Bombyx mori: one gene and its partner. The protein of the gene in region 2 interacts with the protein of the main gene of each other region in a biochemical or structural test. Links are inferred from orthologs where the notes say so. Each region holds a gene or a part of one and is shown on either strand. Other genes may lie near its edges.

The links.
Region 1: the proteins of mediator of RNA polymerase II transcription subunit 23 (region 2) and sterol regulatory element-binding protein 1 form a complex in vitro, tested with the Homo sapiens proteins (2 studies listed by BioGRID). The link is inferred for Bombyx mori from reciprocal best matches to the Homo sapiens genes MED23 and SREBF1.

Annotation. Positions count from the first base shown.
Region 1 is NC_085119.1:8,261,749-8,265,411, reverse strand, and holds part of sterol regulatory element-binding protein 1, read left to right. Parts: intron 1-811; coding exon 812-1,048; intron 1,049-3,663.
Region 2 is NC_085107.1:8,842,358-8,846,747, reverse strand, and holds the start of mediator of RNA polymerase II transcription subunit 23, read left to right. Parts: upstream 1-1,546; 5' UTR 1,547-2,227; coding exon 2,228-2,350; intron 2,351-4,390. UniProt on the Homo sapiens protein: Required for transcriptional activation subsequent to the assembly of the pre-initiation complex. Component of the Mediator complex, a coactivator involved in the regulated transcription of nearly all RNA polymerase II-dependent genes.

The DNA.
Region 1 (3,663 bases), on a different chromosome or scaffold from region 2:
TTGTATTGAATAGGCTCCGAAACTACTGAACCGATTTGAAAAATTCTTTCACTGTTTGAAAGCTACACTATTCCCGAGTGATGGAGGCTATAAACTTTTATGAAAAAATTAGGGATCCTTACTAAAACTCCAATAATGTAACCGAAGGTGTAAAAAAATTACCTAAAATATTTTTTACATGGCGTGCCCTGCGAAAACTATTGATGATAGAATAAAATAATGTACTACGCCTTTGTAGAACACATTATTATTATTTACAAAAAGTGTCGCGACAGCATATCTATAGCTATTAAAGTTATTCCGCAATAAGTGTTCTATAATTTTTAAAAATAAAACAACGTCAAATGTCGTTGAAATTTTTGTTAAATACCCGAGCGGAGCCGAAGCGGGCCGCTACATAATATAATTATTATTGTACGCGCGGAACTAGTTAGCCGCGCCTTAGGTATGTGAGCGGTGAGACGGAGAGGCAGGGGCGCTAAAACTGATGCAAATATACATAAATTAGTAGTAGAACCAACAGGGATATCAGAACGAAGTGTAAGGAGAGTGATTGCTGAAAGTAAAAGTTAGATAGGTACAATATAATTTTCTAAAAGTTCCATTGCGATTTATTTATTCTTTTCAATAATTGAACAATTATTGTTCACGATATCTCGAGATTGATAATCACTGTCTAATCTCTTGTGCGTTGCGAGTAATATGCAACCCGCCCCCTCACCCCTGTCGCCACCTAAGGCGCGGCCAACTTGTTCCGGGCGCACTATAATAACATAATTTTTCGATTACTGATAATTGCAATATATTTTAGTCCAACAAGACGAGCTACGTTGCACTGGGCAACGGAGGTTTCTTCTGTTTCGCATCAACTAGCCCAGCTGGAGATCCTGTCGGATCACAGAGGGCGCAGCGAACGATTGTTGCTAGCGCTCCAAGCGATTAATTTGGCTGAGGTCGCCGGGAACAGACAATTACTGGCCGACACGTACGTCACGGCGGCTTTAGTCTTTAAAGATTATATGCCTAAGATCGGAAACTGGTTGTGCGGGTAAGTATCACGAAAAAATTTATTAAAGCTTTTAAAATGTTGTATTTTTTCATCAACATCAGCATCAATGAAAATGGCGTTTAAATTGTTTCACGCATTCTAGGTATCGGTGTTTACAAATAGATCAACATTTTCTGTCAATATATTTTGCGGCCTACACTAAATCTAGGGCAATACCTTTCCATTGTTTTAAGACTGTTTTCTTCTTTATATATCAACTACTCAAATTATTTCAAAAACTAAGTTATTTACAAGCTTTTAAAATGTATTATATTTTTTCATCAACATCATCATCAACGAAAATGTCATTTAAAATGTTTCACGCATTCTAGGAATCGGTGTTTACCAATAGATCAACATTTTCTATCAGTCTATTTTGCGGCCTACACTAAATCCAGGTCAATACGATCCCATAAGATGTTCAGAACCTACATATACATAGGTTTATGAAAACTATGAAAGAACATCTGTGCAATAAAGCTTACTATAAAGTCAATGATTATCTATAAGATTGCACAAAGTGGGAATGAGTTGCTTGCTCTGGGCATTTAAATATTGCAATAATTGTTACGGCCTGGCCACGGGAATCGGCGGTGCGAACAGCGAAGCGGTGGACGAGGCGACCATTCGCGCAGCACCGTTTGCAGGCCACGGGTACTCACGTTCGCCGCCGCGACTAGTAACAGCCTGGCCACGGGACATTCGCCGATGCGAATATTCGCGCGGTGCGAACGGCGAAGCGTCTAGCGACTAAAACAAGCGCATAGAAATGTACCTAACAAGCCACGCGCACCGGCGACCGGCGAAGCGACCGGCGAAATGTACCGAGCGAATCGCGCGATGCGGCGGGCGAGCAAAACAAATGCATGAATACGGACGGCGCGAGCCACGGAGTCGAGCGGTAGTCGCGGCGAATAGTGCAGTGATTAAATGAGTTTAGTTGTTTTCGCCGCGAAAAATTAACGCCAAAATTTTTATATTTTTTATTTATTTTTTATTTTATATTTTTAAAGTCGTCGTGGCCTAACGGACGTCCGGTGCAATCGTGTTGAGCGATGCACCGGTGTTCGAATATCAGGCGGGTACCAATTTTTGTAATGAAATACGTACTCAACAACACTCAACGTTCACGATTGATTTCCACGGTGAAGGAATAACATCGTGTGATAAAAATGAAATCTTCAAAATAATAATTTGCGTAATTACTGGTGGTAGGACCTCTTGTGAGTCTACACGGGTGGGTACTACCACCCTGCCTATTTCTGCCGTGAAGTAGTAATGCGTTTCGGTTTGAAGGGTGAGGCAGCCATTATAACTATACTTGAGACCTTAGAACTTATATCTCAAGGTGGGTGGCGCATTTACGTTGTGGATGTCTATGGGCTCCAGTAACCACTTAACACAAGGTGGGCTGTGAGCTCGTCCACCCATCTAAGTAATAAAAAAATAAAATAGCTGAAATACTAGCTAGACCAGCTATTTGGAAGTCTAGCCACCCAAAGTATTTCTCGTACTTCTTGTGGAATTCTCCATCTATAGGTATACTCCGATTCTTATTCAAATCATGTACTTCACAATCTTTTCCAAATAATAGGTCCTGAACCAAAAAACTATTAATTTGTAAGCAATATCGAGATAATTTCGATATAGACATTTCGCTGTCGGACTTCCTTACTAGTCGCGGCGGCGAACGGGAGAACCCGTGGCCTGCAAACGGTGCTGCGCGAATGGTCGCCTCGCCCACCGCTTCGCTGTTCGCACCGCCGATCCCCGTGGCCAGGCCGTAAGGAAGTCCGACAGCGAAATGTCTATATCGAAATTATCTCGATATTGCTTACAAATTAATAGTTTTTTGGTTCAGGACCTATTATTTGGAAAAGATTGTGAAGTACATGATTTGAATAAGAATCAGAGTATACCTATAGATGGAGAATTCCACAAGAAGTACGAGAAATACTTTGGGTGGCTAGACTTCCAAATAGCTGGTCTAGCTAGTATCTCAGCTATATTTTTTTTATTGCTTAGATGGGTGGATGAGCTCACAGTCCACCTTGTGTTAAGTGGTTACTGAAGCCCATAGACATCCACAACGTAAATGCGCCACCCACCTTGAGATATAAGTTCTAAGGTCTCAAGTATAGTTACAATGACTGCCCCACCCTTCAAACCGAAACGCATTACTACTTCACGGCAGAAACAGGCAGGGTGGTGGTACCCACCCGCGCGGACTCACAAGAAGTCCTACCCCCAGTAATTACGCAAATTATAATTTTGAGGGTTTCATTTTTATTACACGATGTTATTCCTTCACCGTGGAAATCAATCGTAAACATTAAAATTTGTTGAGTACGTATTTCATTACAAAAATTGGTACCCGCCTGATATTCGACTACCGGTGCATCGCTCAACACCGGACGTCTTATCCGTTCGGCCACGACGAGTTTAAAAATATTAAAAAAATAATAATAAAAAATATAAAATATAAAAATTTCGGCGTTCATTTTTCGCGGCGAAAACAACTAAACTCATTTAATCACTGTATTATTCGCCGCGACTACCGCTCGACTCCGTGGCTCGCGCCGTCCGTATTCATGCATTTGTTTTGCTCGCCCGCC
Region 2 (4,390 bases):
TTGTTGTTTTTGTTGACATGCGTATTATTTATGAAACATTTTACTTTAACTATTTTTAATAGGGTTTTTAAGTACAGAAATCTTGACAAAAGTACCATTATTATCAGAATGCCACTGGGTCACGTTTACTCACCTGTTCAACTGTTCAAATTCAAACTAAGAAATACAGCAATATGCAACTGTGAATCCGAGGAAGGTACTGTGGATCATATATCCTTCAACTGTATCCTTAACAATAAGTGTGATCCTCTATATACTTTATCAACAAACATAATCCCCCTCCCCATCAACATGAACTTCCTATTAACTTTCCCCACTAAAACGGTAGTCTACTTGCTTGGATCTTTCATAAACGCTAATAGTATAAAATTGTAGTTCCTACTAACTGTTTAATGCAAAAAAAATTAAACTAAATAGGTCTTAGCATAATTATGTTGAGATATAGCACTAGCTGCGTGTCGCCGCACTAGTAATGTTGACTTGTTACCATGGATACATTCTCTACTTAATAAGATTGTGTCATGTGAATAAAATATAATTTGTGATATTAAAAAACCGAGTCTGCTTATTCTTCCACATAAAATCTTAACAAATTATGTTGATACCTCCACTACCCGACGTTGGCAAAGTTGTATTTAAATCTAAGTAACAAAAGCCAGAAAGAAAGAAAAAGAAAACTATTTAAGTCAACTAAATAGTGACGTTGCACCGACACATGTGTAATATATTTATTAAATAATCTTCTGATGATATGTGCTATAAACAAGGATTTTCTCCGTATAACATAAGAAGCTTTAAAATTTGATCGTCAGATAATTTCTTCACCATTTTTAAGTAATTTATTCGCCCCAGTAATCCGCAAAAACAACCAACACGTGCTTACTGTGTCAGCACTGGAATGGCACTGGATCCAGGTGCACTGGATTGGTCGCACTGAATTCAAAAGTAGACCGCCAATCCAGTTACTGGACTGGAATGCTAACTGGATTCAGTGCATCCAGTGCCAGTTTACATTTTTCCAGTAAGCAATCCAGTGCTGGATTCGATCACTGGACTGGAATAGTGTAAACCGGGAATTATTTTATACAAAGAGTAAAGTTCAAACTTTTTTTTAAGGGATTTTATGACCCGGTGACTAAGACTTTTAAGTCATGTCTTATTTTAATTTTTTTTTTGAATTCTTATTTTTATGAAAAATAATGAAATGAAATGAAGATTATTTGTTTGAGACATGAATCAACTTGGATGAAATCAAATGAAGTGAGATGAGATGATATGGGATGAAATATAATCTCAGTAAAATGGTGCTAATTTACTGAGATTTTTTCAGTGGACTTTTTAGATGATCCCAAGAAGTAACGTCCAGCGGCTTTGTTTCATTTTCCCACATTTGTGCACTTTCATAGATATTAAACAGTTAATAAACCACCATTATTACATATTTAAACCCGAAGAAACACTAAATAGACAAAATAAAACAAATGACACAACTTCACTCCTCGCGTTCCCGCCAAAAAGTCCATTTCAAACTTTATTGTCCATTTTTTTTTTTTTTAAGAGATTTTATGACCTGGTAACTAAGACCTTTAAGTCATGTCTTATATTCTTAATTTTATGAAAAATGATAATATGGAGTGAAATGAAATGAAGATGATTAATTTGAAACATTAATCAACTGGGATGAAATTAAATGAAATGAGATGATATGGGATGAAATATAATCGCAGTAAAATGGTGGTCATTTACTGAGATTTTTTCAGTGGACTTTTTGGAGGAACCCGAGAAGTTACGTCCAGCAGCTTTGTTTCATTTTCCCACATTTGTGCACTTTCACAGATATTAAACAGTTAATAAACCACCGTTATTACACATTTAAACCTGAAGAAACACTAAATAGACAAAATAAAACAAATCACACAACTTCACTCCTCGCGTTCCCGCCAAAAAGTCCTTTATTGTCCAGTGTCCACATTTAGCATAGATTATTCAATGCATTTAGTCATTTATTAAATTTCGCGTAGTGATGGTTTAAGTATCCCAGTTTTTACTTGTTAACGTTGGCATGTAAATTTAAGAAGAACATAATTCCTAACAGCTGCATTTGTAATTAAAATTTCTTTCTTGAGTTAACTTCTTCCGTCAAAGATCTTATACATAATTATTATTCTGAAAGACATGTACCGATAACTTTGTAACCTTTCGGTGTTTTGTTGAAAGCGTAGTTTGGATGCTCCAGTGCTTAGCTAGTTTTTTGTATAAAGGTGACCGTCAATCCAAGCGCATGTTCGAGGAAAATATAATCACGGAAATGGCCGATTCGCAAGTCGCCAACATAGTGAATGAAATATTGGTAAATATATTTTTCTTGGTTAATAATATATTGGTAAATATAAAGGTAAACGTTCTACTGTGCCCTGCATCTGTGAAAATAATAGGTACTGACAAAAAAATTACTCACATGATCATCTACATTAATTATGAACAAAATGTTGTTTACTATTGTTTGTTTTTCATGAATAAAACCTACAAATAATCGAACTTGTTTCTTAGTTGCAAACATGGACTCATGAGCTGATGGTAAGTTGTACTTCGAGATCAGAGGTTTTATGAATAAAAATTAATTTCATCTCATTCATTACGCGCTGAATATGTACTGTTCTGCGTTTATTAATATTTGTGTCCACGTGCTTATTGTATGTAGCTGGCTTGATGTGAAGGTTGATTGCTTCATTTATGTTTAGGTTTAAAGCATCTAGCGTGTTTACAATGTGTAATAAATTTAGTCTAACATGGAACGTAAGGACTAAGTATCAAATGAATAAAAAAGCAATTATGTTATGAAAATAACAGAATATTTCAAATTTCATTAAAACTATGGAATTGTCAACTCTATTTTACTGTTGCCAAGTTAACCTTATGCATTTGTTTCAGTTTTTAAGATAAATTAATATCTCAAATATTTGTTTTATTCTGAATTAAACTTTGACCGATGGGCTAGATTTATCACAGAATGTAAATTGTACATAGCACTGTAGCAAATGATAAAATTTGTAAAGGGATTAAACTAGAAACCTTGTTTTTTAATCAACTAAGACATCTTAAAGTATAAAACTATTGATAAATAAAATTTGCAGTGTCAGAACACCAAACTGTGAATTGGCAGCAATATTAAATAAAACATATTAATAGTACATTCAGTATATTGAAATAATATTTAAAATGCTGTTTGAAAATCTTTTACAAACTTCTTACAATAAAAAAACAATGAATGAGAATATTAAAATAGCTTTTTTAAATTACTCAGTTTAGAATTTTTAGTCTTATTTAATATTTAAGCATAATTTGCATTATGAACACATTTTCGTTTTTGCAAATTTTGTATATTCTTGAAACCTCTGATGTTCTTGAAATATTTTATGTGCTTATAATTGATGTATATGTTTGTGTTATGTAAGTGTTGTATACAGTTTTCATAAAAGTACTGAAAAATGTAAACAATTCTAAATTAGTGATCATCCTTGTTAACCTTCATGAAATAACATAAATTTAAAAAGGTCAATTATTTTAATTCAGCAGTAAAAAAATTTAAATATATTTGTTGTTTCCTTAATTGGTAACAAAAATTATCTAACTTATTTTTATATATATTGTTTACAGTTATCTGCACGTTTATTTAAACAGTACTTGTCTTGTCTCAAAACTTGCAGCTTTTTACTGATAAAAACTGTAAATCAATAAAAAATGTAACAATATTTTACAAACAGTATTAAGTAACTATTATAAATACATAAATAGATAAATTTACCAAACACATAAATAGATTATATAAATACATAAATAAATTACCTATTTTCATTCTTACTGTTATCAAATTCAAACATTAAAATTACTGGTCATAATTTAAGTCAATTTTGGGTCCTTTCATTTACCAACAATTTTCAATTATTTTAGAAGTGTGATTAAGAAATTTGCATCTGGGCATTATAATATCTTCCCATACTGTGTCCCCTACATTATTAGAGATTGGCAACAATTAAAGTTCTCCTATATGCTCAAGAGACAAATGGAAATTAATTACAGTAACTAAAGCGCTCATTTCTCCATTGTTGTGTCCTTAGTGAAAATAGCCTTTATAGATATTTTAATTATGTTACATTACATATTAACATACATAATCACTCGAGTTGTGAATTTATAGAATAACAGTGGAAAAAATAAGACACTTCCATATAATGAAATTGGAAAAGGGGTTTAAGATCAATATCAGCTGTATGTGACTTGGTGATTTGGGACACATGTGTTCTACTACCATCTCAGATACAAGCCCCTCTAATGTTCCTGCTTCTGATGATTAGAGGCTTTTGGGTGTCAATCTGGAGGAAATTACATC